7 linked regions of the Macaca fascicularis genome follow. The protein of the gene in region 1 purifies or fractionates together with the protein of each later gene. This does not show direct contact. Links are inferred from orthologs where the notes say so. Each region holds a gene or a part of one and is shown on either strand. Other genes may lie near its edges. The genes, in order: GDI2, RAB8A, RAB1B, RAB10, RAB8B, RAB7A and RAB4A.

Region 1 (4,401 bases):
TCCAAAAATACAGGTAGTGTATAGTATGACCCCCTGATGACTTGAAGACAGAGCAACAGAAGGACTTTCTTTAGTCATCATTAGCTTAGCCAAAAGAAAAGTCAGTTACACTCACTGTTGCATAATCAGTTGTATGGTCAACTTTGCACTAATTTATTTGGTGACAAATATACACAATCAAATTAAGGTTGAATATAAATTTAAACTTTACTTTTGCTTTCTTCTCCCCTCCCCTTGCAAAAGGTCCATGGTCCAATATAACACATCTTCTCCAAGTATTTACGGGTTAAGAAACATTTTTAAAAGTTGTTACATTCTCTCCTCAATCTTGATGATTTAAATATGAGCAAGTTCGGTCTATCAAGGCAGGCTCATGATAGCTATTACCGAGAAGTATTTGAGTAGTTCTTGAATGCCAAATCTTCATTGTCTGCTGACTATGCAGATTTATCACGTGCTGAAAACACAGGTTTTCCAACTGTCATCGCCTTTAGGAAATTCACCTGCCTAGGCTTTCGTGGGATTTGCCTCTTGGAGCTGAGAACACAGCTTCTGCTTACACCCGTGTCCTCAATGAAGTTAGAGATTCCTAAGAGAATTCTAGAAAAAGAGGAGGGGGTTAGAAGGCAAGCAAGGTAGTTTCTAAGCTTAGGGCCTAAACCTTTGCATCCAAGGATCAGCTACCACGTTTACAGTGGCTTTAAGTTATAGCCCTGGGTAAGTGCGGATCGGCTTCCCAATGAAACCTGGCCTTCACTTTCATCTCCGTTAAGGGTTCCTTTTAGCAAAAGAAGCCGCTTTTCCTCCTACCACTTTCCTAAAGCGCCCACCGGCAACGCACCAAACAGGGAAGGCACAGAGCGGGAAACAGGACACGTGTGATTTCCGAACTCTTCCCGGCGGGCTCCGGGCCCCGGCGAGCCCAGCCCCGCGGGAGGAACCAAGGCCGCTACCCGCGAGAGGCGGCCGGACCCACGTTCCTCGCCCACGTGGCCGCCGCACGCACCCGCTCAAAGTCCAAGGACGGCGGTCCGGCTCTGGGACCTTGGACCGAGCGAGCTCCCGCCCCGACGGCGGGAGTCAGAACCGTGGTGGCCGGCAGTACTCCCCTCCCGCGGTCCCGTGCGCCTCCACCCCGGTCCACGCGCCGCCTCCCAGACCCCGGTGGCAGAAACCGCAAAGGGAACCGGAAGCCAAAATGGCGACGCCCCGCCCTTTTCCTCTCGCGAGAGGCGGGGAAGAAAAAAAGTTGGGCGAGTGACGGGGACAAAACCAATTAGAGTGCCGGAAGCGCCTGATTGGCGGCCCTCCCGGCGCCTGCAGGCCCCGCCCCGGCTGCGGAGGCTCAGTCACCGCCCTCCCCTCCCTGCCCCCTCCCCTTTTCTCCCCGCCCGGTTCTTCGCTTCCCGTCTGAGGTGGCGGCAGGTCTCGCCTTGTCGCCAGCTCCATTTTCCTCTCCTCTCTTCCCGTTTCCTTCGCGCCCGAGAGCGCCTGCCAGCCTCGTAGGGTGGTCACCGAGCCCCTGCGCCTTTTCCTTTCTCTGGTTCTGCGTCCGCGCCTGCCCCGCCATGAATGAGGAGTACGACGTGATCGTGCTGGGCACTGGCCTGACGGTGGGCGCCGGGGCTGAGGGGCCGGGGTTGAGCAGCCGGGGCGGGCGCATCCCCGGCTCCTGCACGGCCCGCGGGTCGCAGCTCCTGGGGGCTTTCGTTCTGCAGTCACCCGTGGTTTTCGGGACGGGAGTCGTGGCTGGGGGCACGGGCGGGTTTGGGGGCGCCCCGCGTCCCGGGACGATCGGGCGACTCCCAGTGTGAGGGGCAGGCGGGGAAATGGAGATGCGGGCCGCGAGGCTCCGGGCGGGGTAACGGCGGAGCCCGGTCGCTGCGCTTCCCCCTTGCGGAAGCGGAGTGGAGGGAGAAGGCGGCCCGGGCCGAGGCTCCCGCTCCCCACTTTGGGCCAGTGACCTCTCCGGGTTGGAAACTAGCACCCGAGGCGGAGGGGACGGTGCAGGCCTCGCGGTTGCATTTCCTATTCCGCCTCGGCCGCTTCCCCGGGTCTGTCTGGCTGCCAAAGCCGAGCACGGGGTTTCCTGACAAGTCTTGGATAATCACTGCTTCGGAACTGCTAGGGCTTGATTAACTTATATTTTTGGAGAAAAGGCAGAAATTAGGCTTTTAATCCTTTCTCCCCCCTGCTAATAAGAAGTATTATTGAATCTTTTTAGCCACCCTCCCTTCCCACTTACCGAGCATCTGTAGAATTGGAATTGAGTTTTTTCAAAACTTGTCTATCAAATGCTTTCGCACCTGACCTTCGCCGCCTTTTCCTTTTGTTTGGTGGGTTCCCTGCCTCCTTTGTCTCTTCTGGACTCTTTTCCCCTAAGAATTGGATTGGTGATGGATTGCTAAAGGCCAAGTTCTCTGTACTCCGCAGCTTTCTTCAGGGAGTTGGAAGATAAATCAGTAACAACATGAAGAATGCATTGTAGTATATATATGAATGCAAGGTGTACCTAATACCATGGTATATTGATTTTCCTGGTTATGTGTCTGCTTAGAGAGCTTTAGGTTAACTGTAGATAATGCAGGCAGGTTCTGTAGTTTGTACTTTTTCTGTTTTTTTTTTTTTTTATGAAGACTTCATCTTGCAAAAGAATTTGGAGAAAACCATTTTAACTATCGATTTTTGGGAACTTTGAAATTCTAACTTTGGGCTGCTTGATCATAATTAAGATGAATACTGATGTAAATCTTGTGTATCCTATGTACTCTGACTTTAAATTCCTGTGTCATTTAATGTAGACTTCCACTTCAAATTTTTTGAAATTTATTATAATCTGTCAGGTTCAAACTAATGTTTTTTTTTTTTTTTTTTTTTTAACAGGTAACATCCCAAAATAACACTTTCAAATGTCTCTAGTCAAGAAAAAACCTTTGAACTTTTATTTGGCTAATTTTTTAAGAAAGGTTTGTTAAGACTTAGAATGGTGTTTTTCTGGCCTGTCATTTTTCTGTTTATAGTTATATGCAATTATTAGAGAATATTCATTCAGAATACTTTGTTATGTTTGACAAATTGAGGAATAATCCTGTCAATGTCTTTGAAAAGCTGGAAGACTGTTGGATGCCTAAATGAATAGGCCCTACCCACTGCAGGTTTTGTGCTTTTTTTTTTAAGTGCCTAATTGGGATTCCAAACTGCGCTTAGTAGTTTGTGGTGGATTTTGCCCGTTGGAATGGGTAGTGCTGCTGCCAGCGTGTTGTTAGAGCCGGTTAGTTCCACCGTTTTTCTATGGTTGTTGCTGGTCTTTCAGATTTGCTCACAATCGAGGTCAGTTGAGCATGGACGAGTGAGTGCAAATCCACCATCATGCAGGCTTCCACAAGCCCCATTCACATCACTTTGTATCAAAGATGGTGAAACAGTCTTTTTATATAACAAGTTAAGATAATGCACTTCGTTTAAATTTTCATTTGGATTGTGAACTTTTTGATAAATGGTAGATGCATACTTAACTAGAAATCAGACCAATTTCTGCTGTCATTTTGTAGCTGTGATAACTTTAATCTCTGTTAGCCTGCCTAAGTTTTCTGAGATGTTCTTTGATAATTATATCAATTCAGAAGAATCACATTATTACCATCCTTGATAGGAGTAGTGATGACAGGATGATTTTGATAATGAGAAATCTTATATCCTTATTTTTAGTGTTACCAGGAATTAGATGACTAAAAATTAGAAGAAGAGAAAACCAAAGTTAGCACTCAGAATTAACTTTTGAGTGTCTGAAGTTAAATTAATTTTCTTGAAATTTACTTTATATTTAGTGCCTGAGATTTAAGAACCTAAAAAAGGCAAGTGCTTTCAGTGCTAGGAACTTGTTACTTTTAAAGAAGTGTAAGGAAGTGCTGGAGTTGCTGTGTTGCTTAGTGCTGCCATTGTTTGTATGAGTTGTTAAGTCCAAGCTCGTAATCACAAATATTGATAGTCATTTTAATCAAGAAGATACAAAATGATTTGGCATAAAGGAGTAAAATCTTCATTCTGTGTGTAAAAGAAATGGAATATTCCACACAATTTAATTTTCTGAGGAATTAAGGGTTATCTCTAAAGAGCACAGCTTTTGGATAATGCCTTTCTAAATGCTGTCACAACTTCTCTAACAAACTAAGAAACATAATTTACTTGATAACTAAGATTTCACATAGTGAAGATTAATTATTGTGTTGTGCTGTAACATGGTGAAGCCATGAAGACCCCGCCAGCTTTGTAGGAACTTTTGCCCCCTTTACTCTCAGGCTGCTCTGCTTTTTGAGCTCTTGAGTTTACTCTTCAAATTTTTTCCCTCTGTCTTACTCTACTGTTAGGCTGGCAACTTTTACTTTTCTCCGCTTTCAGCAT
Region 2 (4,712 bases), on another chromosome or scaffold:
ATTTTATTTGTTGTAGAGATGGGGGTCTCCCTATATTGTCCAGGCTGGTCTCGACCTCCTGAGCTCAAACAATCCTCCTGCCTCAGCCTCCCAAAGTGCTGGGATTACAGGCCTGAGCAACCACACCCAGCTGCAAGCCCGATTTTCCTAATGTATCTCTCCTCTTTTTCTTTTCTTTTTCTTTTTCATTTTTTTGAGACGGAGTTTTGTTCTGTTGCCCAGGCTGGAGTGCAGTGGCACGATCTTGGCTCACTGAAAGCTCCGCCTCCCGGGTTCACGCCATTCTCCTGCCTCAGCCTTCCGAGTAGCTGGGACTACAGGTACCCGCCACTACACCCGGCTTTTTTGTATTTTTAGTAGAGATGGGATTTCACCGTTAGCCAGGATGGTCTCGATCTCCTGACCTCGTGATCCGACCGCCTTGGCCTCCCAAAGTGCTGAGATTACAGGCGTGAGCCACCGCGCCCGGCCTTTTTCTTTTTTTGAGAGGCTTCTCGCTCTGTCGTCCATGCTGGAGTGCAGTGGGACGATCACCGCTTACTGCAGCCTCAAACTCCTGGCCTCCCAAAGCACTGGGATCACAGGTGGCAGCCACAGCCCCGGCCTGTTTTTTCAGTGTTGAGAGTCCTGGCCCCTAGATAGGAACAAGCATCCTCACTGTTCTAAAGCATCCTCACTGTTCTAAACCCCCCGGGCTGGCCCGGACAACTCCTAAAGCGGCCGAGGGCGGACCCTGAGGAGGCCGGCGCGCGCTTCGGGGCACAGCTTGTGGCGGTGAAGCCGCTCAGGTGGCGGAGGCCTTGGGTATCTGTAAGCAGGTCGCTAGGCCGCAGACCTCGGAACTCGTCTTGAGTCACTTTTATTTATTTATTTATTTTTGAGATGGAGTCTTGCTCTGTCGCCCAGGCTTGAGTGCAAAGGCGCGATCTCGGCTCACTGCAACCTCCGCCTCCCAGATTCAAGCAATTCTCTGCCTCAGCCTCCCAAGTAGCTGGGATTACAGGCGCCCACCACCACGCCCGGCTAATTTTTGTATTTTTAGTAGAAATGGGGTTTCACCATCTTGGCCAGGCTGGTCTTGAACTCCTGACCTCGTGATCCACGCGCCTAGGCCTCCCAAAGTTCTGGGATTTCAGCCACCGCGCCCGGCCCGGGTCACTTTTCGAGTATACAGTGTCTCCTCTCTCCTTCCTCCGTCGGCCCCCGCTGCCCCGACTCGGAGGCCGCAGATCAGGTTGAGAGCGCTACCATGGTTTCCCGCGCTCGCCTCGGGGCCTATTGCGCCTGCGCGAGTTGTGACGGCGGGACCCAGAGATACCCGCCCCAAGTACAGGATTGCGCCCTCTGCCGTCGCCTAACGGAACTCCGGGCGCGCGTGAGCACGCACCCCAAGCCCCGCCCCCCAGGCTGCCGGCGCGCGAGCCGTTGGCGACGCTCCCTGCGTTCCCTCTCCTGTAGTGGGGCGGGGCCGGGCCGCCCGAGTAGGGGGTGGAAGGCGGGGGCCACATAATGCCACGCCCCCGCCTCGTCCCCATTTGAAGCCCCACGACTCTTCACTGCTGGTCAATCAGAGCCCGTCCTCTCCCTAGTGCCGGCCAATGGGAGGTGCGCTCGGGCTGCTTCCGGCTCCGCGCTCCATTCGCCCCCTCCCCAGGTCTCCCCGCGACTGGCGGGACGCAGGGGCGGGCGTCGGCCGCGGTGACGCGCAGCGGGCCTGGAGCCAATAAGGGGCGGGCTCGGCGCTGATGGACGGTGCTGGTGGCCAGTGGAGAGGCGCTGGCCGCACTTCCCGTCGGGGAGAGAGTGTAATATGGCGAAGACCTACGATTACCTGTTCAAGCTGCTGCTGATCGGGGACTCGGGGGTGGGGAAGACCTGTGTCCTGTTCCGCTTCTCCGAGGACGCCTTCAACTCCACTTTTATCTCCACCATAGGTAGCGGGACCGGGGAGTGGCTGGGGGCGCCAGAGGCCCGGGCTGGGCGCGCCCCTGAGGGGCTGGGGCTGAGGGATCTACCGGGCTGGACTGGCCGAGGGCGCTGAGAGGGTCGAGGGGGCCTAAGGGGAGAAGAGCAGTCGCCTGTACCGCCGTTCGGGGGTTCCTGGGCCGTGGTGGGGGAGACCAGGTGCCCATTTTGCAGATGGGGAGACTGAGGCTCCGACCCTCAGCCCGCTCGTTAGGGAGTGTTATGTCCTGGGCTGGGGTCTTCGCGCCCGTCCTCTCGATCTGTCCTAGCAGCAGCCCTCAAAGCGGTTCTTTTGAGGCTCCTGCCTTACAGAAGTGGAAACTGAGTCATGGGGAATTGGCCATGGGAAAAAGACGGTAACATCTCACCTTAATGAGCATTTACTATGTGCCAAGTGCTTCCCGTGCATTTTCACACTCTCCAGTTCTCGGTGTTAAGTGCTGTTTTGAGCCCGTCTCACAGATGAGGAATTTGAGGCTCAGGGTGGGCCTGGAACTTGCCCAAGGCCACACAGTCTGCAGGTGGTGAGAATGGGATTTGATGGAATTTGAACCTGGCTGTGTCTCAACCCAAAACTCGAGGCTTAGCTATCCTAGAGAGATGCCACCTCACACTCCCAGCTGATGACAAGCTCAGCTAATGCACCTTGGAGCCGGAACTGTAACCCACACCATTCCTGCTCTTTTCTCTGGAGCATTCAGAAGTTGAACCCCTCTCCCTGACCATTCTTCCCCTCATAAGTGTATTTTCCTCTAGAAGGAATGATAAGAGGAGTCAGGACCTTTTCCCTGCCCACATTTCATCCTGCTCCAGGATGACAATAATGACAAGTGACAGCACTGCCTGCCCTGGAACCTGTCATCTGCAAGAAGATGCAAGATAAAAGCCTCAGCGAGCAACTAAATCAGCCACTGCCACAGACAGCCTTGACTTCCCTATCAAAGGGCCCAAGACTCCGGTTGTCACTTTAGAACAGCTTTTCCCGTAGGGCCAGCCCACATTGTGGTTGAACAGAATTGGCTTGGTGCATCTCAGTTGTGCCGTCTGCAGAAGTGGAACTGACCTCTCTCAGTGCCACAAAAGCAGTCCTGGCCCACAATGAAAAGGTTAGACCGGGGAGTAACACCAGTCTGAGTGGCCTGGGAGCTCTGTAGCCCTGCTAGGGATGGGGAAAATGGGGGAACGGTCACTAAGGAGTTTATTCCAAGTCACGAAAACGTAGGGAATGGCCTTTGCTTTACTGTGTCACTTCAACAGAATCATGTTTTCTCCCTGAACCCCACGATAATGTGCTGATTCCATTCTTGCCCCCCTCCAGGAGCTGTGCTTTTTTTATTTTATTTTATTTTATTCTATTTTATTTTATTTTATTTTATTTTATTTTTTGAGATGGAGTCTAGCTGTTTTGCCCAGGCTGGAATCCAGTGGTGCTATCTCGGGTCACTGCAACCTCCGCCTCTCGGGTTTAAGCAATTCTCCTGCCTCAGCCTCTCTAGTAGCTGGGACTATAGGCACCCGCCACCACGTCCAGCTAATTTTTGTATTTTTAGTAAATATGAGTTTCACTATGTTGGTCAGGCTGGTCTCAAACTCATGACCTTGTGATCCACCTACCTTGGCCTCCCGAAGTGCTGGGATTACAAGCATAAGCCACTGCACCCAGGATAGCTGTGCTTTATAAAACAGTTATATGCCTGATGTAAAGTAGAGAGAACTGACTGGAAATCGTTACGTCTGGTTTCCAATTGCTGTTTGCCCTTGAACATACACTGCCCCTCTCTGAGCCCTGCTGTCTTTAGAGCAGGAGTGACGCTGTCTCCTGGGCTAGTGCCCTGGTGGTTGAGGATTAGAATTAGACAATAAGGGGTTATCACCGTAACCAGAGGCCATCTCGAAGAAGCAAATGAATGAATGGCTCCTGCAGTGACAGCATCCAGCCTCTGAAGACAGATGGTTCTGAATTCTTCCCCCTCCCCAACTCCAAGGCCAAACTTTAGGGTAACTCTTGTGCCCCAACCGATCAAGAAGTGGCGTTAATTCAGCCTGGGCAACATAGCAAAACCCCATCTCTATAAAAAATAAAATAAAATTAGCCGGGCATACTGGCTTACCCGTATAGACCCAGCCACTTGGGAGGCCAAGATGGGAGGATTGATTGAGCCCAGGAGGTCAAGGTGCAGTGAGCTGTGATGGCGCCACTGCACTCCAGCCTGGGCAACAGAGCGAGACCCTATCTTAAAAGAAAGAAAGAAAGAAATTATGTTAACTGTGGGCAGACTGTGGCTTGCCTTCACTCAGATCCCAGTTTCCCGGCCTCAGCACCTTCCCCACAAACCCCCCCTCTTTTTTTTTGAGATGGAGTCTCGCTCTGTCACCCAGTCTGGAGTGCAGTGGCATAATCTCGGCTCGCTACAACCTCCGCCTCCCAGGTTCCAGCAATTCTCCTGTTTCAGCCTCCTGAGTACCTGGGATTACAAGTGCCCACCACCATGCCCAGCTAATTTTTGTATTTTTTTTTTTTTTTTAGTAGAGACAGGGTTTCACCACGTTGGCCAGGCTGGTCTCGAACTCCTGACCTCATGATCCGCCCACCTTGGCCTCCCAAAGTGCTGGCATTACAAGCATGAGCCACTGCGCCCAGCCCAGACCCCCCCTCTTTAGAGTTACTTTGAGCTTTAAAGAGGCTGTCTTCCATTTGCAGATGAGGATGTGACTTGGTGAAAGTTACCTAGCAAGGTGAAGGTGGC
Region 3 (4,410 bases), on another chromosome or scaffold:
GGCTCCACATTCTCGGGAGTGGCGCCTCCTAAGTGGCTCCCGGGACCTTCTCGCGCTCCTCCTGGCCTCTGAGGGATGCGTCCTACCCCGCCATCGCCCCGTGCCCCAGGACGGGGACCTCCCCTTAGTCAGTCCTCCCACCGCCGGGCCCTGCCCCGCATCCCGGCCTTATGCACTGCCCCTCCCGCCCGGCCCCGCCCAGGCACGGCCCGACCCCGCCCCGGGCACCGCCCACCGAGCCATCCTGCCACGCCTCTCCCCACGCCTGCAGCTTCTCGCGAGGGGCGGCGACGGTCCCTTGGTGGCAGGAGGGGCTCCCCCTGTTGCGGGTGAGGCGGCTGCTCTCTATTTTCAGATGTTGCTGTAGAAATAAAGACGGTTTGAATCTGAGCCGGGCTTGTTTTGAGGCGGAGGTCGGGGTCCCCCCGCGTCTCTAAACGGGTGGAGCCGGGAAGGGTCGCGCGTGAGTGGGGGACAGTGTGTCTCGCTCAACTGCTGTCCGCGCAGCTGGGCCCAGATATTCTGGCCCACCCCGGAACTGGGTGGGGGCCCCACAAGTCAGGCTTTCCCTAAAACGTTCACTTGTGGGGTTCTGGAGACCGCGGGCTCTTACGAGCTCTGCTCTTCACAAAGTTTTTGACTTTGAGTGAGTTTCCCGAGACTCAGTTTTTTCATCTATGAAATGCGGGTGATGACACGCGGCTGCGAGTTAGGAGTGCCCAGTACACGAGGAACCCTGGACAAGTGAACTTTTACTAGTCTTGCTAGATCCCACATTCTCATTTAATGTTCACAACGTGGGTATTGGGAGGGTAAGGATGACTCCGTCAGACAGATGTGAAACGTGCCAAGCCCAGCTCTAAACTGAGCTTTTTAAACACCGAGACGCCGTCAGGCTTTCCAGCATCGTGCTCAAGCCTAGGTGCGTCCGGCGTGCAAACTACAAGCCCCAGAAGGCAATGCGCCAGTAGTGATGGGAGTGGGCGCGGAGGCACGGGCTCCCCGACTACGCCTGCGCAGCGGGGCTGAGTTGGAGAACGTCTCAGACTACAAGTTCCGAGAACCAGCGCGGCGAGGCCTGAGAAGAGGACGTTTGCGCCTGCGCGTCGCGGGCGGGGCCTCTGGGGCGGAGCGGCCACCATCTTGGAACGGGAGGCGGAGCAGAGCCGACTGGGAGCGACCGAGCGGGCCGCCGCCGCCGCCATGAACCCCGAATAGTGAGTGAGCCCCGCCCGCGCCGTCCAGCGCAGCCTCGATCCCGAATACGGGGCTGTACGCTTACCGGGGTTGTCTGGCCCGGGTCAGGACTGTGCGGCGCCCCCACATCCGGGTCCCTCTTCCGCTGACCCCCCCCCCCTCACATCCGGGTTCTGCCCCTCCCCCCAGGGGCCCCAGGACCCCGGCTCAACACCCCGAGCTCTCACACCCGGGGCCCAGACGTGGCGACCCCGAGGGGCAGCTCTTGGAGCCCGAGACACCGGCCCTACCAGGCCTTATCGGTCAGATGACCCCGCAGTCCCGGTCACTTCAGGCCTCAGTTTCCCCACCTGCTGCTTGACAACTGTCCTGGAGTTTGGGAGCCCGTCTTTAGATAGTTTCTGGTCTCGGGTTCAGGCTCGGGCCCTTTAGGTCGGGCAGTGAATCCCTCTACCCTTCTCTTTCTCCTGAAGCCCGGCTCCTGGGGCCGGCCCAGAAACTGGCCAACTAAGCGGGAGGCCCCGAAGCGCCGCTTGAGTCCCATCTCCCGCAGGTCCTCTCTTCCGGGGCTGCCTCCTACCCTTTGCCTGGGTTACGCTGACCTGTCGCTCCCGACGGTCCGTCCTTTCCCGCCCTCTCCTCGCTTTTGCTCAGGCCCCCAACGCCACCGTCGCACCCCTTCCCTTGGCTGTCACACTGCTTGTGAAGTTTAGATGAATATGGAATTTGCTCTCCCCCTTCCAGCGGGATTCTCTGGTCCTCAAACTCTCCTCACTCTTGGTCACTCCCTCTGCGGGTAGGTGGCCCACATCTCATGCCCAGGACTAATAGTTTTCCCCAAGTATCAGTTATCTTCTTCCTCTTCTGCCACTTCCTTTTTCTCCTCCACATCCAGGTCTCAGATTTCCTTGGGGAAGGGTGAAGCTCTGAGCTGGATTGGGAGGGGAACAGAGAAGGGAACCAGCAGGCTCTCGCAGGGACTTTGGAGTCTGACAAACCTGGTTTGAGTCTTAAAGCGAAAAACTGTGTAAGTTAGGGCAAGTCACTTCCCTTCTCTGGCCTCTGGTTTCCTCATTAGTTGACAATGATAAAACTGACTTCATTGGACTGTTGCGAAGATTAAATGAGATGATGCATTTGAAGTACTTCACACAGGGAACTCAACTGTGTGACTTCACACAGTCACAAGTTGGAACTCAATATTATTAAATGTGATTACCTTTTACCTTTTTTTTTTTTTTTTTTTTGAGACAGGGTCTCTCTCTGTCACCCAGGCTGGAGTACAGTGGCACGATCATGGCTCACTGCAGTCTCCAACTCTTGGGCTCAAGCATTCCTCCTGCCTTGTCCTCCTGAGTAGCTGGGAATACAGAGGTACATCACCACATCTGGCACATTTTTAAATTTTTTGTAAAGACAGGGTCTCCATCTGTTTCCCAGCCTGGTCTGAAATTCTTGGGCTCAAATGATCCTTGTGCCTCGGGCTCCCAAAATGTTGGGATTACAGGTGTCAGCCACTGCACCCAGCCTTAAGTGCAATTTTCATTGCAACTTGACCACCTCTTCCTGGTGACTTCATAACAGGTTTTTTGTTGTTGTTTCCAAAGAGATGGGGTGGACTGGGCGCGGTGGCTTACGCCTGTAATCCCAGCACTTTGGGAGGCTGAGGCGGGTGGATAACGAGGTCAGAAGATCGAGACCATCCTGGCCAACATGATGAAACCCCATCTCTACTAAAAATACAAAAATTAGCCAAGTGTCATGGCACGTGCCTGTAATCCCAGCTACTCTGGAGGCTGAGGCGGGAGAATCACTTGAACCCGGGAGTTGGAGGTTGCAGTGAGCCGAGATCGTGCCACTGCACTCCAGCCTGGTGACAGAGTGAGACTCCATTTCAAAAAAAAGAGAGATGGCTGGGCGCGGTGGCTCAAGCCTGTAATCCCAGCACTTTGGGAGGCCGAGGCGGGCGGATCACGAGGTCAGGAGATCGAGACCATCCTGGCTAACACGGTGAAACCCCGTCTCTACTAAAAATACAAAAAACTAGCCGGGCGCGGTGGCGGGCGCCTGTAGTCCCAGCTACTCGGGAGGCTGAGGCAGGAGAATGGCGTAAACCCGGGAGGCGGAGCTTGCAGTGAGCTGAGATCCGGCCACTGCACTCCAGCCTGGGTGACAGAGCAAGACTCCGTCTCAAAAAAAAAAAAAAAAAAAAAAAAAGAGAGACAGGGTCGTGCTACATCACCCAGGCTGGTCATGTACTCCTGGGCTCCAGGGATCCTCCTCCTGCTTCACCCTCCCCAGTAGCTGGGACCACAGGCACACCCCACAGCACCTGGCCATCTGTCTCTTTACATGGGTTTTTCACTTAACAAGTTCTAGACTGTGCCCTGGGTTCTACTTCTGGGGCCTCCCCTGCCAAGCCAGGCATACCACAGGTCATGTACTGGGGATTCCCTAAATAGCCCCTACTGTACCAAACCATGAAGTCTCAGAAATCAGGGTAGGATACCCAGCTCTGTCGCCTTGGCAGGTCACGTCCCTCTCTGTGTCTTGATTTCTTTCTCCATAAAGTGAGAATTTAGACTCAGCAAGCTGAGAGCCCTTTGGGCTAGCTTTTTCTGGAGGGGGGCATCAGCCCTCCCTGACCGGGACTGGTGGGAAGATCTGGTGAGCACCATAGTATTCTAAACCAAAGGATGACCAGGCTCACCCCTGTAATCCCAGCACTTTTAGAGGCCAAGGCAGGTGAATCGATTGAACTCAGGAGTTTGAGACCAGCCTGGGCAACATAGTGAGACCCCGTCTCTACAAAACATAAAAAGAGTAGCCAGGGGCTGGATGTGGTGGCTCACACGTGTAATCCCAGCACTTTGGGAGGCCGAGGCAGGTGGATCACCTGAGGTCAGGAGTTTGAGACGAGCCTGGCCAACATGGTGAAACCCTGTCTCTACTAAAAATACAAAACTTAGCCAGGCATGGTGGCAGGTGCCTGTAATCCCAGCTACTCGGGAGGCCGAGACAGGAGAATTGCTTGAACCTGGCAGGCGGAGGTTGCAGTGAGCCAAGATCACGCCATTGCACTCCAGCCTGGGCAACAAGAGCGAAACTCCGTCTCAGAAAAAAAAAAAAAAAAAAAAGATTAGTTAGAAGTGGTAGTGGACACCTGAAGTCCCAGCTACTCGGGAGGCTGAGGTGGGAAGATCACTTTGAGCC
Region 4 (3,965 bases), on another chromosome or scaffold:
TCTCTAATGTTCTAAAAATCCTAACTGCTTTTGTGTTACATTATGGAACTAAATTATTAAACAAAATGGAAAGAGTTTTTCTGGTGTTTGCTAGTGCTTATTCAATAACCTTGAGTTTTATGTGTCACTTCCTACTGTTTTGCCTTTTAGATTTTCATCCAGTATGAGTAGGTTATTAATTCCCTTCAACTAAAAAGTTTTTATATATACTTAGGAAAAACTATTTTATTCTTGTTTTGTCCTTTATGTGAAACGTAGTAATACCAAAATGCTTAATAGAAATTGTTGGCTGTTTATTTCAGGGATACAGCAGGCCAGGAGCGATTTCACACCATCACAACCTCCTACTACAGAGGCGCAATGGGTATCATGCTAGTATATGACATCACCAATGGTAAAAGTTTTGAAAACATCAGCAAATGGCTTAGAAACATAGATGAGGTAAGACCTAGAAATTGTATAAACCCTTCATGAACACACATTTGTGTGCTTGGTTAAGAAGAATAAATATTCCAATTGATCTTCAAGATACAATGTACTGTTGAAGTAATTATTACTGAAGTATTTCTATTTTCTAAAAGTTAATGTTGGCCGGGCATGGCGGCTTCATGCCTGTAATCCCAGAACTTTGGGAGGCTGAGACGGGAGGATCACCTGAAGTCAGGAGCTCAAGACCAGCCTGGCCAACATGGTAAAACCCTGTCACTACTAAAAATTACAAAAATTAGCTGAGCATGGTGGCGCGTGCCTGTCGTCCCAGCTACTCGAGAAGCCAAGGCAGAAGAACCTCTTGAACCTGGGAGGTAGACGTTACAATGAACCAAGATCGCGCCACTGCACTCCAGCCTGGGCAACAGGCTTTTTTTTGAGACTCTGTCTCAAAAAAAAAAAAAAAAAAAAAGTTAATGTTGTTATTCGCCTACGTTTTTCTTAAGTTTTTGGGCAGTCTATCTAGAGCCTCATTCAAGACAATTAGTAAATGACTCCAAAACTCTATATAGCCATCTTATAAGATGACCCCAAATAGAAGCTACCAGTGGTTTTACAATGACTTTCTGGAAATGAATTTTTTCTTAATAAATTTTTATTGAATGAATGAATGAAATATCTAGTAGTAATTTTTAAAAACTTTATTTTTCATGTTACAGAAATATAATATTGCTTCTAGGCATTTTGAAATATATGGAATGCTAATACAGTAAAAACCTAAGAAAATAGTTCCATTGCATGTGAAAATGTTGTTTTTTTTCTGTATTTTTGTTTTTTGTTTTTTTTTTTGTTTTTTTTTTTTTTTTTTTGAGACAGAGTCTCGCTGTGTCGCCCAGGCTGGAGTGCAATGGCCAGATCTCAGCTCACTGCAAGCTCCACCTCCCGCGTTTATGCCATTCTCCTGCCTCAGCCTCCCAAGTAGCTGGAACTACAGGCTCCTGCCACCACGCCCGGCTAGTTTTTTGTGTATTTTTAGTAGAGACGGGGTTTCACCGTGTTAGCCAGGATGGTCTCGATCTCCTGACCTTGTGATCTGCCCGTCTCGGCTTCCCAAAGTGCTGGGATTATAGGCTTGAGCCACTGCGCCCAGCCTATTTTGGGTTTTTTTGAGATAGAGTCTCACTTCATCACCCAGACTGGAATGCAGTGGCACGATCTTGGCTCTCTGCAATCTCTGCTTTCTGGGTTCAAGTGATTCTTGTGTCTCAGTGTCTTAAGTAGCTAGAATTACAGATATGCACCACCACACCCGGCTGATTTTTGTATTTGTAGTAGAGATGGGGGTCTCGCCATGTTGGCCAGGCTGGTCTTGAACTCCTGGCCTCAAGTGATCTGCCCACCTTGGCCTCCTGAAGTGCTAGGATTGCAGGCGTGAACCACCGCGCCCAGCCTGATGTCACTTTTTATAAGTTAAAGTTACGTATCAAAGCATGTCTATTTCTTTGCTACAGCATAGGTGGCTTCTTGTTAAGAGTTGTTTTTCATGCCTTATTGCTACCTTCTAGGCTTTGAGTTTCATTGAGAGTAACTCTTTGGAGCAAGTTTTGGCCAGATACACAAAGAGCAAGTCTTAAACCAATATTAGACCCAAGATAATACCCCTAAGGGTAGCAATCCTAATGGCTCATAACCACTTTTTTGTTGCTACAATAAACCTTTAGGAGAAGCTTATTATTTTTTAATAATTAAAGATACACAGATCTTGGCCAGGTGTGGTGGCTTACGCCTGTAATCCCAGCACTCTGGGAGACCGAGGCAGGCGGATCACCTGAGGTCAGGAGTTTGAAACCAGTCTGGTCGACATGGTGAAACCCTGTCTCTATGAAAAACCCAAAAAAATTAGCTGGGCATGATGGTGGTCACCTGGAGTCTCAGCAACTTAGCAGGCCAAAGCAGGAGATTCACTTGAACCCAGGAGGCGGAGGAGGCTGCAGTGAGCCAAGATTCCACCACTGCACTCCATCCTGGGCAGCAGAATGCAACTCCGTCTCAAAAAAAAAGAAAAAGAAAATCTTGTTTCTCTGACATATTTAAAGGATTATATAACATGATAAAGAGGAACTTTACCCAGGAATGCCAGGGTCAGAACCTGTCAATGTAATATACCATATTAATAAAGGACAAAACTATACAGTTATCTCAGTTCACACAGAAAAAACATTTGACACAATCCAGCATTCTTTTATGATTAAAACATTCGGCTGGGCGCAGTGGCTCATGCCTGTAAATCCCAGCACTTTGGGAGGCCGAGGTGAGTGGATCACCTGAGGTAAGGAGTTCGAGACCAGCCTGGCCAACATGGTGAAACCTCATCTCTACTAAAAATACGAAAATCAGCCAGGTGTGATGGCAAACGCCTGTAATCCCAGCTACTCAGAAGGCTGAGGCAGGAGAATCACTTGAACCCGGGAGGTGGAGATTGCAGTAAGCCGAGATCGTGCCATTGCGCTTCAGCCTGGGCAACAGAGCAAGACTCTGTCTCAAAAAAAAGTCAACAAACTAGGAATAGCAAAGAACTTCCTTAATCCTGTAAGTGACATCTATAAAAATACCACAGCTATTATACCTGTCCCTTAAGATCAAGAACATGGCAAGAATATCTGCTCTGGCCACTTCTGTTCAACATTATGCTGAGATTCCAGCCAGAGCTTAAAAAAGAAAAAAGAAAAGAGCCATCCAGAGTGAAACAACTATTTATAAATGGTAAAATATTTTATATAGAAAATCCTTAAAAACCCACAAACATATACCCAGAAAACTCTTAGAACTAATAAGTGAGTTCAGCAAGGTTACAAAGAAATGAGATCAAGATACAAAAATCAGCTTTATTTCTGTACACTAGCAATAACCTAAAAATTACATTGAGAATAAAATTCCATTTGTAATAATATCAAAAGGGAAAAATTACTTAGGAGTAAATTTAACCAAAAGAGTGTAAGACTTGTACACAGAAAACCACAAAATATTGTTGAAAGAAATTAAAGATCTAAACAATTAGGTAGCCTGTATTTGTGAATTGGAAGACAATATTAAGATGGCATTACTACCCAAAGTGATCTACAGATTCAGTGCAATCCCTATCAAAATCCCAATTGCTTTTTTTTAAATTCCCCCTGTGGAAATTGACAAATTGACCCTAAAACTAATATAGACAGGCAAGGGACCCAGAGTAGCCAAAACAATCTTGAAAAGGAAGTACAAAGTTGTAAGACTTACACTTTCTGGTTTTAAAACTTAACCACTAAGCCACAGTAATCAAGACATTGTGATACTGACATAAGGATAGTCATAAAGATTAATTGAATAGTATTGAGAGTCTAAAAATAAACTCTTGTATATATGGTCAGTTGACTTTTAACAAGATGCCTGGACAATTCAATGGGCAAAAGAATAGTCTTTCCAACAAATGGTGCTGGGAAAACTGGCTATCCTTGTGTGGCAGAATGAAAGTTAGACACCTACTTCATACCATACAG
Region 5 (3,965 bases), on another chromosome or scaffold:
GGAGACTGTCTCAAAAGAAAAAAGAAAGAAAGAAAGATATATCAGACATGGAGTCTTTAAAAATATGACGAGAATGCCTTTCATTAAACCAGTATAACAAATACATTGGATTTTAAGTGTCTGTGATGTACTTAGATAAATAGTGACAACCTATTTTTTGATCAACATATATAAAAAATAATTTTAAATCAGTGTAGCCTCAATCTTAGTAGAACAGTAGGAAGCAAGATAGTTTCTACTTGGAATAAACAAGTGCACAATGGAAGTGACAAACTCTTACTCCCAGTGTTATCTGTGTTTTGACTGAACACTCAGCCCAGTTGGTGCTGATTGTTTTCATGTTAGGCCAGGTGGAAAGGGTGTCTCACCTTTACCACAATCACCAGTTCATTAAAGGTTAACAGTGAAAATGTTAACAGGGTTTTTATTTACATGGTGAGACCAGTGGAATAATGTATTTATTGATTTTTGTTTCTCTGTACTTTTCAAATTTATTATGAATCCTTTTGTAAAGGGAAAAATGGACAAACAAAAGGTTTCTGGAGGGTAGGAGTACATTGACATTATATACTATAACTTTAAATATATAAAGTACTAAATAAAGGTCTTTTTCCCCATTACAGGGCATTATGCTGGTCTATGACATCACAAATGAAAAATCCTTTGACAATATTAAAAATTGGATCAGAAACATTGAAGAGGTATGTGCGGAAAGAGAATGGTGACATTGGAGAAGAGTCCTGCTGGGTGCTTTTAAAAGGCTCCTCTGTCTCTGCAAGGCAGCTGAGCTGCTTAGAAGCAGGGCATGGGCAGGTTGGGCCTTCTCTCTCTGAAGAGCTCCATAAATCTCTGGTGCTGCCAGTCTGACTACTGGGGCATAGGGGAACAGAGAAATAATGTCACAAGATTTTAAGTTTGGGCCACATATGGGAAATAATTTAATCCTAGATCACATTTTACACATGAATAACAGACCAGAAAGAAATGATTTGCCTGTGCTCATACAGCCTTTAAAAAGAAGAGCCAGGATTAAAACATCTGGTTCCCAACTTCTATCCCACCATGCTGTTTGGCTAGCAACAGTATCTCTTTACCCTGGCAACTTTTTACCCTTCTGACATTTTCTCTATCTTAGATATTTGAAGATTGTTTTAATCCCAGGATAATTGGTATTAAGATTTTTTAATGTCTTTGTCACTTAAGAAAGAAATCTGACTGATACAATTTTGTACACGTTTCTATTAACTTAGATGAATTTCTTTTTAAAATAGTTCAGAATCCAGAATGCCTTCTCCACTGGTTCACTCAGTACCAAGTTTTTGTCCTTCTTTGACCCAAATATTTGGAAATTTTGTCATTAGATCACCGTAAGCTTTATTTGTGTGTGTTCCACCTTCTTTCCAAACCTCAGGAAGAAGGTTTGCACAGGCTCTGTGAGGGCTCTTGTGCTGTAGCTTTGCCCCTCCTCCCATCTTTAAACTTTTCTCTGAATTACGCCTTGTGTGAGTGAAAGATTGTTTGTCTTATTAAATTCATGTGTTTCTGACAAGTTGGATTTGTCTAGTAAGTAATGGGTTTTTCTCAGGCTGTTTTTATAGCATGCTATTTTCTCCCTGCAGCATGCCTCTTCCGATGTTGAAAGAATGATCCTGGGTAACAAATGTGATATGAATGACAAAAGACAAGTGTCAAAAGAAAGAGGGGAGAAGGTAAATGTGAATGGAATGAATAAAGGTTGGATTCTACTCACATTAAGCATTTCTTTTCTTCATATTGTTTAATTATTGATTTAAGTTTTTTTTTTAATCTGTGTTTTAATCCTTTTAAATTGGATATCAACAACAAAGAGATGTAATCCATACTTGAATGGTGTGAATTAGTATTCGAGATCCAGCTCCCTATACTGTGTGGTCATGACTCATTCCTAAAGAATTTGCTAATGTTTTCTGGGAGATACAAATTGGTCCTTTCTCAGATTCCTGCAGCTTAGAGTTCAGGCTGTTTCTTCCAGATCTGTGTGAAAATGCCCAGTTTTGAAGCTAAAGTAATTCATTCTTTTTTTAAAAAAAGTTACAGGGTAGGTGAAGTTTCAACAGGAATCATTTTCCAATTCATTTTTTCCCCTAAGAATATTTTACTATACATTAGCTTTAGGTTTTATGGATAAATTCCTTGTAATTGATCAAGCTATGGATGTCATTTATATGTTGTTTATGGGCATTTCTCTCTTTTGTGTCCTCCTGTAAAGCAAAAGGATATTTTGTGCACATATTTACTTCTGTGGCAGATTCTAAATTGACTTAGAAGCTTCACTTTTTAAGTCTTGGAATTTTGCTTTAGCCTTTAAAAAAATTATATATGCAAATTGAATTTTCTTTTTTCTTTTTTTTTTTTTTTTTTTTTGGTTTTTTTTTTTTGAGACAGAGTCTTGCTCTGTCTCCCAGGCTGGAGTGCAGTGGTGTATTCTCAGTTCACTGCAACCTCTGCCTCCTGGGTTCAAGCAATTCTTATGCCTCAGCCTCCAAGAAGCTGGGATTATAGGCATGTGCCACCACACCCGGCTAGTTTTTGTATTTTTAGTAGAAACGGGGTTTTGCCATGCTGGCCAGGCTCGTCTTGAACTCCCGGCCTCAAGCAGTCCACCTGCCTCGGCCTCCCAAAGTGCTGGGGTTACAGGTGTGAGCCACCATGCCTGGCCACATTTTGTTTTTCAATTTGACTGTGAACTTTTGCTAAAGACTTTTTTCCCCTAAAAACATTTACTTAATTTTAGCATTGTAAATAAACTAAGAACTTTTTGAGGAATATATGAGAGTTCAATTTGTCTTAATAGAAATCAAAGCTTGAATACTTTAGTATTTAAATTTTTGTTCAGTTCTGGACTCATTTATTAAAAGTAATTAAGGCCTGGCACGATGGCTCACACCTGTAATCCCAGCACTTTGAGAGGCCAAGGTGGGCGGATCACGAGGTCAGGAGTTCAAAACCAGCCTGACCAACATGGTGAAACCCTGTCTCTACTAAAAATACAAAAATTAGCTGGGCATGGTGGCACACACCTGTAATCCCCGCTACTCAGGAGGCTGAGGCAGAAGAATCGCTTGAACCCGGGAGGCGGAGGTTGCAGTGAGCTGAGAGAGTGCCACTGCACTCCAGCCTGGGCAACAGAGTGACACTCTGTCTCAAAAAAAAAAAAACAAGGGTAATTAAAAGTCAGTATAAGTTTTTGTTTTTTATTTGAGACGGAGTTTCACTCTTGTCATCCAGGCTGGAATGCAATTGCACGATCTGGGCCCACTACAACCTCCAGCTCCCTGGTTCAAGCGATTCTCTTGTCTCAGCCTCCCAAGTAGCTGGGATTATAGACGCCTGCCGCCACACCTGGCTAATTTTTGTATTTTTAGTAGAGACCGGGTTTCGCCATGTGCCATCCTGGTCTCTACCTCCTGACCTCAGGTGATCCGCCCGCCTCGACCTCCCAAAGTGCTGGGATTACTGGCGCGAGCCACTGCGCCCGGTCAGTATAGTAAAGTTGGAGAATTATACTTTGGGAGCAGATAAAAGGAGTGAATGAATCCCAGGCTAATGGTAGTTTTACCAGTGGAGGATCTTGACTACAAAGTCATCCAGGTTCTTGGCATTTTGAGCAAAGAACTGGACAAAACGCACAAACAAAACAATGAAAGAATGAAGACAAAAAAAGCACAGAATTATCGAAATGAAAGTATACTCCACAGAGTGGGAGTGGGCTTGAGCAAGCAGCTTGAGCACTGGTTACAGAATTTTCTGAGGTTTAAATACCCTCTAGAAATTTCCCATGGGTTACTTCGTTCACACCCTACATAAATGAAGTAGTGGCCCATGACCAGTCTGATTGGTTGCAGAAGGTGACCAATCAGAGGATGAAATGAAGTTACAAAGTTATGCCCTGCGCAGACGTCTGATTGGTTGTGGGAGAGAACCAA
Region 6 (4,391 bases), on another chromosome or scaffold:
CCCAGAAGCTGATGGTCCTGCAGTGTGCAAGGCCATTTCAGAATACACATAGAGAAAACAGGAGAATAGGTAGCGAGGGTTTTGCGGAAAGAGCCAATTTTAGCTGAAAAAGTAGGGGAAACCCCAGACATTGTGCCATCTCAGGGTTAGGACTGCTTGCCTAGATTTTGAGGTTTTTTTTTTTTTTTTTTTTTTCCCCAGACCCCTCAACTTCTGAGATCTCAATGGGAAGCTGCTGATCACCAGTTTTAGGTGTTTTTATCTATTGGGAGACTCTTTCCCTGGTTCTGACTGCAACCAATTATTATTTTAGAGAGATAGCTTAATCTGACCACCACGTCATGGTTGCCTCACATTGCTGGTGGGGGAGTGGCCCCACTCCTGCCCTGCTCAGGTCTAACTACTTACTTACTGTAACAATTGCAAGGTTTTTGGATGGAACAATTGAAAGAATGGAGTTTGCATGAACCAAATAAGAAAAGACTATTAGAGGGCATTGTTAAAGATGGAGACAAAAGTTCTGAGTGGATCCTGATGTGTTCAGATGGGGCTGGTGCTTGGGAGGCTGCTCTGTGCTTACAAGAAGAGTTCTACCAGGTCCATCTTTATCACATCTTCTTTAATACTAAGTTCAGAGAGGCTTTAGCTCATTTTCCATTTTCTCGTGCTGTCTCCTCTGCCAAAGTGTCTATTTCTCCTGTCTCTATTACTGAGTCACACAATTGCTGTAGTCATTTGCAGTCTACTAGAACGATAACACACATTGGCATCAGACAGACCTTGGTTCAAAACCCGGCTCCACCAGTTTCTGTGTTGAGCTAGACCAAGTGACCTGATATGTTCGGTCTCAGTTCCTTATTTGTAAAATGGTGATAATAATTTTTGGTTAGGTAGTTAAAGTAAGGATAAATGATGCCTTCCGAAGAAGGACACAATTGGAATGGCCAGTTTACCCCTTGACCTCTCTTCGGTGGCATTCTTTATTCTGGAGCAAGGAGGGATGGCTGAGGGAATCTGTCTGTGGGTCCAACATGGCGCCGTCCTGCTCCTTGTACAAGCCTCAAAGATGGGGACAACCGTTTGGGAGCAGACATGTTTGTAGCACGTGATCCAGGCTCTGTCCCAAGGCAGCCGGAACGTGACTCAAGGTTGAGGCGGGGCTCCTCCTCCGCACCCCGGCGTCGAGCGTCTCGTGACAGGTACTTCCGCTCGGGGCGGCGGCGGTGGCGGAAGTGGGAGCGGGCCTGGAGTCTTGGCCATAAAGCCTGAGGCGGCGGCAGCGGCGGAGTTGGCGGCTTGGAGAGCTCAGCAGAGTTCCCTGGAACCAGAACTTGGACCTCCCCTCTTCTGTCCTCCGTTGAGTCTCCTCCTCGGCGGGAGCCCTCGCGACGCGCCCGGCCCAGAGCCCCCAGCGCAGAGGCCGCGGTAAGCAGCGGGCCCAGCCCGGCCGGCGGCCTGGCCCCATCCCCCTCCTCAACTCCTCGGTCGCCAGGGCCTCGCGTCCTCCCTGTCCTCCTGGCAGGCTCCAGGCCCAGCCCTGGCCTCGCGGGCAAACTCGGCATCGCTCAGGCCCACGAAGCAGGCCAGGACCCCACCCGGGTTGGAGAGGTCGGAGGTCGTCGGGCGTGACCTCTGGCCGGGTTGCCGGCCCCGGCCGCCGGTCTCGGACGCTCTGTTTACTGTTGGCGTCGATCTCAGAGACCCAAGAGGGTTCATTGACTTGGACTGCCCTGCGCCGCGGCAGGACGCGCTAGGCGGTGGAGTTATTTAGCGTGGCGAGCAGGAGGGTGTCAGAGCCCACGCCGCCCGCCGCCGTGCCCACCTGGCGGGCATGGGTCACAGGCGCTGGGGGCCGAGCCGCGTTCCCATCCGGCTCTTCAGTTGAACAGCCTGACCCTGTTAGTGGGAGAGGTTCCCTGACGGCAACTGAGTCAAGGCGTGAGTCAGGTCACGTGCGCTGGGATCGCCTCAACACTTGTGTACATTGAGGCGCCTCTGGCGCTGGAAGACAGGGAGCTTTTTGTCCTAGGCATGTTACGGTAAATCCTGAGAGAAGTTTTTCAACTTAGTCGGGGAAAGATGGTAGTTGGATGTAGAGTTGTGTTTCCATTCGGACCGTGTTGGGGGCCTCTTTCTGCATTCATTTTACGCTTGATACCTAATGGGTCATAAGGGGAATATTGAGAATACTGACAGCAAATATTTGAGCGTTTGTTATATGCTAGGCAGCGTGGCAAGACCTTTTAACAGATCATTATGTTTAGTTCTTTGAACAACCCTCTAAAGTACCACTGTTGTGCCCACTTAACACAGTGGGAAATTGAACAGAGAGGCTAAACCATTTGACCAAGGTCACACAGCTAAGTTACGAAGCAAAGATGCAAGCCCAGGCAGTCAGACTCCAGAGCACTTTATTCAATTTGTAGGTTATACTGCTTTCACGTGCCCCTGAAGCGTGTGGTTTATCTTTTGCCACCTGGTATCTGTACCTCACTGCCTTCCACCACCTCCTTTCTTTCTGTTGATGTCGTTTGAAAGTCTTTCTGGTAGCATCAGTTCTCTCTTAAAGCCATAAGAAATGCCGTTTGCGGCTTATCACACATATTGTAGTGTAGTTGAATTAGGAGCTCTTGAATACTGGCGGGGTACTTAACTGAGGTTTGAAAAATTTTGCAGGTAGGCCTGGCAAAGCTGCCTAGCGAACCTTTCTTACAACCTTAGTTGATGGCTGTCCAGCCAGTTGGTTCTTCCCTATTCAAAATACTGCATCTTTGGTTTCCTAAAGAACAGGCTCTTGTCTCTTTCTTGTGACTTAAGCAGCTGATGAGGCACATGATTTCTCATCCATGGATTAATAAAGTCTCCTCTTAGTGTGTTTCTTTCTTCAAACCTGGGAAGGTTTGTTCAGATTTGGATTTAAGAACTGGAAGGTGAGTTAGGAGTGCTTCTCCTGAAGGGACTGGCTAAGTTAAAGCTTAGCGTTCACAATCCTGTTGTATTCAAATTTGTCTTTTTTATTTTTTTTTTAACTTTGCTACCCAGCCTAAAATATTTAAGTGAGTAATAAGTACTGTAGCTTTATATAATGTTTGAGTTTAGAGGAGAGTAATGATAGGCACCTTTTTATTCATTCATGAAGTATTTTGAGTATCCATTGAGTATCAGCAATGTATCAGGCGTTGTGGGATGTTGACTTAGGGAGATAGGCATGGTTCCTGTCCTCAGGGAATTTTTAAAAGGTGAATGATCTTGGCCAGAAATTCTATTGTGGAATGATTTGGTGGTAGAACTTGAGGCTTTTTGGAAAGAGTTATTTCTCATTTCTGCTGATGAATCCGTAGTAATCCAAAGGATGGTGTTCTGGCTAACTTTAAGGCTTTGTTAATTTTAACAACAGCATTTGTATGCTCTTCAGAGAGTGTAGAAGATAATATTACAGTTTCTAATTTATCACATCTTTTAAAGAGTAACCTTCAACACTCAACTTGTTTCTCCTTTTGCTCTGGTGGCATTTGTTTTATTTTATTTATTTTTTGACACGGAGTTTCTCTCTTGTTGCCCAGGCTGGAGTGCAATAGCGCGATCTCAGCTCACTGCAACCTCTGCCTCCCAGGTTCAAGCCATTCTCCTGCCTCAGCCTCCCGAGTGGCTGGGATTACAGGCATGTGCCACCATGCCCGGCTAATTTTGTATTTTTAATAGAGACAGGGTTTCTCCATGTTGGTCAGGCTGGTCTCGAACTCCCTACCTCAGGTGATCTGCCTGCCTTGGCCTCCCAAAGTACTGGGATTACAGGCATGAGCCACTGCGTCCGGCCGACTCTAGTGGCATTTTTTTGGTTCACTCGAGAGGTAGTCCATGTCACTACCATTACCTTGCACTGCAGTGTCTTTGAGCAAAGGTACATTTGGACATTTGGCATACTGGATTTTTTTCTTCAGCTGGCAAGAAAGTTTAATGTAGCACTGATATTGTGTCGGCCATAGTTTCAGTACCATTCTACATAGAAAAGCTGTGCTACCCTATCTCCCACAAACTTTCTAGGTTCCCTTCAAGAGAAGATTTGGATTTTGCATTTGTGGTAGAACTGCATGAGTAAACAGAGGGTGGAATGTAGAAGATACTCTAAAAATAGTTTTATTAGTATATCCTTCTAGGTAGTTAGCAACCACGTGGGGCAATTTTTTTTTTTCGTATTTTTTTTGATGCCAACTGTGTCTAAGCTCACAAAACCTGTATCAGAGAACAACGCTTTATAGTAAAGTGTGGCTTTGAATCAGTTTTCTGACCCCACTGCCAAGTGAAGCCAAAAAATTTTGGTTATTTGATTAGCTTTTAATACGTCTTCAAAGAGTTCTTTGCTAATAACATTTTTGCTCTTACTTTGGCAT
Region 7 (4,469 bases), on another chromosome or scaffold:
CCTGTGGTCCCAGCTGCTCAGGAGGCTGAAGTGGGAGGATTACTTGAGCTAGGGAGGTGGAGGCTGCAGTGAGCCATGATTGTGTCACTGCACTCCAGTCTGGGTGACAGAGTGAGGACCTGTCTCCAAAAAAAAAAAAAAGATTGAAAAAAAAAAAACCAAAAAACAAAAACCCAGTACATTTCATGCACTGGCCCTTGATTTTTCCTCATCCCTCTGTCAAGCTACACAGAGCCTCCTTTTACAGAAGAGCAAATGAGCACAGAGTACAAAGGAGTTTAAAGGTTAGGCAAACATTCCTTCACCAGCTCAGAGGCAAATATCCAGAAGGGAGCCTGACTGTTTCACTTTTAAGGAACAATGCCATATAAATATGGCCACTGATATGTCCAAGTGACAGCCTAGGACTTGGTTCTAGGTGACTTTTACTTCAGCTTGGCAAACTTCAACTGTCCTGCTTGCTCTTTCTAAAGCCCATTTTCTTTTTTTGAGAGTCTCACTCTGTCATCCAGGTTGGAGTGCAGTGGCGCAATCTTGTCTCACTGCACCTTTGCCTCCTGGGTTCAAGCAATCTCATGCCTAAGCCTCCCAAGTAGCTGGGACTACAAGTGTACCACCATGCCCAGGTAATTTTTCGTATTTTTAATAGGGTTGGGGTTTCGCCATGTTGGCCAGGCTGGTATCGAACTCCTGAGCTCAAGTGATCTGCCCCCTCGGCCTTCCAAAGTGCTGGGATTACAGGCGTGAGCCATCACGTCTGGCCTCATTTTCTATTTATTAGTTTCTACTAGTTTTTGATTAATTTCCTCTATTAGAAGAAAATATTCAATTCAGAATTGCAAAGTAAAAACATACTTGGAAGTTATCATGAAATAAGAATACTAATGGTTAAAGCCTTATGATCAGAATGCAATCAATCTGTGAAGCTCAAAAGTTCAGTTAACTGTGTCTGAAGTGGAGATGCCAAAGATATGCTCTATTTTATCAGTTGTTATCATTGTGTAAACGAAAAATGAAACATAAAAGGTCCTTTCTTACTGATTCATGACCCCCACTTGCTTTTCTTCTTTGGACATTCCACCCTTCCCTTGTGCTCTGTGCTCCTTACTCAGGTTAAAGAAACTCAGCGTGGGCTAAAGAGCACTTGAAAATAAAGAAGTGCAAAGATGCAACCAAAAATTGCTAAAGAGCATGTTTTCCTTACATTTCTGACTGTGGTTCTCTACAGGAAGAACCAGACCACTGCCATTTGCAGAAGCATTTGCAAACACTTGTCCTGATGAAGGCATCGACTTACTGGAGGATTTCCTAAGCCTTCTAGGAACAGATGTCATGCCCCTGTGTCACCAAGAACAGGGCAGTACCAGTCACAGGAGTCACTCACTGAAGGTGGACCAAAGGCACTGTGACCCCAGCACGGAAGCCCTTCCAAAAGTTCCCATTTTTTCTTACAAGACAGACTCACGCCTTCCTCAAGGCCCTCTCCTCTCTGTCTCCTCATCCATCTCTCCAGCGTGGTGCTCACAACACACCCTTCTTGAGTTGCCCTTCCCACAGGCCTGAGATGTTCTGTGTGTTGCCTGGCTAATGCCTCCCCGACACCCCCTGTCTGGGTCACCTTTCTTTCTAACACACTTTCACGGACCACACTCCTTAAGAACTCTTGGCTGGTTTTTAATTATTCACTCATTAGTATCACAATTGGATGAATACTGCATTCCCTCAATAGACGGTACGCTCCATGAGACTAGAGCCATGTCTGCTGTCTTTCTGCAGGACTTACAGCCCTCCCAGCACGGTGCCCGCTTCCCTGATGCCATTCCACAGTATTTGTTGCCGAGAAGGAGGCAGCACGCCAGGACAGATGGAGACAGGACTAATTTGGCTTGAGGTATGTAATTTTGAACTTGAGCCTCTCTCTGGGACTGTAAAACTCCAAATCAAAGTCTTAATCTGAGAATACACACATCTGAAAGACTGATTAGGGACTGGTAAACATCTATTAATATTCAACTCTGATAGAAAGTACAAGTTGTTTATTCTTACCACGCAAGGCCAAAAAAGGGGAGAAAAAAAAAAAAAAAAAAAAAACCACAAAGTATATGCACTGGGAAAGCTTTCGCTTATTCAAAACAGTATTTGTCGAGCACCTCCAGGTCTGGGTGCTGCAGGGGAAACAAAGATTAAACAGCCAAGGCTTTGCTTCCAAGGTGCTTACTGTCTTAAGGATACAAGGCTTATATATAGCCAAAATGCAACTCAGAAAAGACTAAAAAACACTGAGAGGGAGGGAGAAATAAACGAAGAGGTCTCCGGAGGAAGAGATGAATTAGTCTATCAGTAACTCCTCACTGTAATCCCAATGTAAAGCAAGGAATTCCAAACCAGGAAAGGTCAAACTGAAGTATTTGAGGAACACAGGCGTCGCCCTAAGCCCTTCACACGGCTCGCTGGGGATAATATAGCAGCTGAAACGGAACATCAAGCTGGCTTTCCAAACCTTCAGTTATTTACATTAGACTGAGAGGGGAAAAGCGCTAACAGTGCAGGCGCAGAGAAAGAGCAAGAGGAAACTTGAAAAGGCGGATCACTCCAATGCGCTGTGCACAGCCCCGCCCGCGCCCGGCGCACCCGCTACCCCACCCGAGCTCTCCGCGGCCCGCGTCCCCCATCTCGGTCCTAGGCCCAGACACCTCCGAGACCCGTCCCACGGCTCCGGCCGGCGCCACCGCCACCCTCAAGACCCCCGCAGCCCAAGCCCGGCCCCGCGCCGGCGACGCCCCCCGCGGCCCGATCCGCGCGCCCAGCCAGCCCGGGCCTCGTACCGTAGGTTTCGGACATGGCCGTCTGCGACATCTTGGGAGCGGCGCCGCCTCTCGCCGGGTCACCGGCTGCACTCGCCCGCGGTCCGCTGGCGCGTCTCGCTGGGGAAGAACCTGGGGCGGGAGACCGGAGGAGGGAGGGGCCCGACCGGTCCCCACGGCAACCGCCGGCCTCCCAGCGGCTGCGGCCCAGCCGGACTCCAGCTCCGCGCAGGCGCAGGGACCTCCACCCTCCGTCCGGCCGCGACCGCGAGGAGGAAGAGGAGATGGGCTACCCGAGGCCCGGCCCACGCCGCGTTCGCGCGTGCGCACGGGGAGGCGGGGGGCGGGGCGCATGGGGACTTCGGCGCGCGCCGGAAGCACGTGCGCGGGCTGGGTCCCCTGGCTGTGTGCGCCGAGGCTGGGCGAGCGGCGGGTGGGGGCGTTGCGGGCTGAGTCCCGATTTCCCTCAGGGAAGGCCGGGTAGAGGCAGGCGGTGGGCAGGTTTGGGGGTGACAGAGGGCTGGGGACAGTGGGGTCCAGTTACCGAACAGAGGAGGAAGGTGCCTGCACTGGGGAGGAAAGCAGTCCATTTGCCACACTGGCCCGTCTCAGTTAAAGACGTTGTCTTCGGTCATCATCTGAGGCTGTCAGCCAGGAAGAAACTTCCCTGACGCAGTTACGATCGAGGCCAGAACTTGGTTAATGTGTAACAAGGGGGCAGTAGGCCCCAGGTGTCCAGCCAGAGGCCGCCCTGTGAATGGGAGGCGGGTTCATTTACCCGTTGGGAAGCTAAGCTTTCACTCCAAACTGCCCGGCCCTCTTGAATGGAGCTGAGCAGGTGTGGGCAGAATGACAGAAGCTCAAGATGCCCAGATGCTGAAGGGTCATCGCAAGACTACAGACAGCAGCCTCTCCACATCCCATTTTAGAGGGTTCTGGATTACGGCTGAGAACTATCTCCTGGCCCCCAGCTGGGGATGTGTTTCCAAATTTAGGAGTTTTTTTGTTTTTATTTTTTAACAGGGTCTGGCTCTTGTCAGCGCAGCCCTGTCGATTCTCCCACCTCAGCCTCCTGAGTAGCTGAGGCTAGGGGCACACAGCACCACACCACGCCAATTTTTAAATTTTTTGTACAGATGGGGTCTCGTTATGTTGCCCAGGCTGGTCTTGAACTCCTGAGTTCAAGCATCCTCCCTCCTTGGCCTCCCAAGTTGCTGGGATTACAGGCGTGAATCATCTCACCTGGCCTTGGATAGTTTGGTTTCAGAAGCAAAACTGAGTTAGAATCCCCTTCTGTGGGAAATGTAGAGATAAACATTTATGGAAAAGAGAATTTTGGTTGAGGATTTGGCCCATCTGAGCTTGATCAGGGCCACATAGCGCCTCATAGTTCCCAACCTTGTTCACAATAGGTTGTCGAATGCTCAAAATATCCCTGGCTAAGCTCCCAAGTGACCTGGACTGTGTGGAAAATGCCAGTACAAAGTTTTTTTTTTTTTTTCCTGAGTCAATTTGGCTCCATCCTCCACATTGGCATCAGAGCTTCCCTCTTCCCCAGGGGCTATTTGGGTCGGTATTTTTCTCTTCTCTCCCATCCTAATAACAAATAAATGCAGTTTTTTTTCTAAACCACAGAGAAGGCCCCATGGTGAAAGGTTGTGAGAG

The links.
Region 2: the proteins of GDI2 (region 1) and RAB8A purify together in Homo sapiens (co-immunoprecipitation; 5 studies listed by BioGRID and IntAct, with this or other methods). This does not show direct contact. The link is inferred for Macaca fascicularis from reciprocal best matches to the Homo sapiens genes GDI2 and RAB8A.
Region 3: the proteins of GDI2 (region 1) and RAB1B purify together in Homo sapiens (affinity purification with mass spectrometry; 3 studies listed by BioGRID and IntAct, counting the BioPlex papers as one, with this or other methods). This does not show direct contact. The link is inferred for Macaca fascicularis from reciprocal best matches to the Homo sapiens genes GDI2 and RAB1B.
Region 4: the proteins of GDI2 (region 1) and RAB10 purify together in Homo sapiens (co-immunoprecipitation; 3 studies listed by BioGRID and IntAct, with this or other methods). This does not show direct contact. The link is inferred for Macaca fascicularis from reciprocal best matches to the Homo sapiens genes GDI2 and RAB10.
Region 5: the proteins of GDI2 (region 1) and RAB8B purify together in Homo sapiens (affinity purification with mass spectrometry; 3 studies listed by BioGRID and IntAct, with this or other methods). This does not show direct contact. The link is inferred for Macaca fascicularis from reciprocal best matches to the Homo sapiens genes GDI2 and RAB8B.
Region 6: the proteins of GDI2 (region 1) and RAB7A purify together in Homo sapiens (affinity purification with mass spectrometry; 3 studies listed by BioGRID and IntAct, with this or other methods). This does not show direct contact. The link is inferred for Macaca fascicularis from reciprocal best matches to the Homo sapiens genes GDI2 and RAB7A.
Region 7: the proteins of GDI2 (region 1) and RAB4A purify together in Homo sapiens (co-immunoprecipitation; 3 studies listed by BioGRID and IntAct, with this or other methods). This does not show direct contact. The link is inferred for Macaca fascicularis from reciprocal best matches to the Homo sapiens genes GDI2 and RAB4A.

Annotation. Positions count from the first base shown.
Region 1 is NC_088383.1:6,738,491-6,742,891, reverse strand, and holds the start of GDI2 (rab GDP dissociation inhibitor beta), read left to right. Parts: upstream 1-1,375; 5' UTR 1,376-1,568; coding exon 1,569-1,613; intron 1,614-4,401. UniProt on the Homo sapiens protein: GDP-dissociation inhibitor preventing the GDP to GTP exchange of most Rab proteins. By keeping these small GTPases in their inactive GDP-bound form regulates intracellular membrane trafficking.
Region 2 is NC_088393.1:16,425,979-16,430,690, forward strand, and holds the start of RAB8A (ras-related protein Rab-8A), read left to right. Parts: upstream 1-1,791; 5' UTR 1,792-1,810; coding exon 1,811-1,934; intron 1,935-4,712. UniProt on the Homo sapiens protein: The small GTPases Rab are key regulators of intracellular membrane trafficking, from the formation of transport vesicles to their fusion with membranes.
Region 3 is NC_088388.1:8,121,284-8,125,693, reverse strand, and holds the start of RAB1B (ras-related protein Rab-1B), read left to right. Parts: upstream 1-1,145; 5' UTR 1,146-1,203; coding exon of another isoform or gene 1,204-1,217; 5' UTR 1,218-1,910; coding exon 1,911-1,993; intron 1,994-4,410. UniProt on the Homo sapiens protein: The small GTPases Rab are key regulators of intracellular membrane trafficking, from the formation of transport vesicles to their fusion with membranes.
Region 4 is NC_088387.1:96,120,103-96,124,067, reverse strand, and holds part of RAB10 (ras-related protein Rab-10), read left to right. Parts: intron 1-302; coding exon 303-441; intron 442-3,965. UniProt on the Homo sapiens protein: The small GTPases Rab are key regulators of intracellular membrane trafficking, from the formation of transport vesicles to their fusion with membranes.
Region 5 is NC_088381.1:39,765,549-39,769,513, forward strand, and holds part of RAB8B (ras-related protein Rab-8B), read left to right. Parts: intron 1-623; coding exon 624-701; intron 702-1,619; coding exon 1,620-1,709; intron 1,710-3,965. UniProt on the Homo sapiens protein: The small GTPases Rab are key regulators of intracellular membrane trafficking, from the formation of transport vesicles to their fusion with membranes.
Region 6 is NC_088376.1:154,694,546-154,698,936, reverse strand, and holds the start of RAB7A (ras-related protein Rab-7a), read left to right. Parts: upstream 1-1,222; 5' UTR 1,223-1,425; intron 1,426-4,391.
Region 7 is NC_088375.1:19,835,536-19,840,004, forward strand, and holds the start of RAB4A (ras-related protein Rab-4A), read right to left. Parts: upstream 3,086-4,469; 5' UTR 2,857-3,085; coding exon 2,826-2,856; intron 1-2,825. UniProt on the Homo sapiens protein: The small GTPases Rab are key regulators of intracellular membrane trafficking, from the formation of transport vesicles to their fusion with membranes.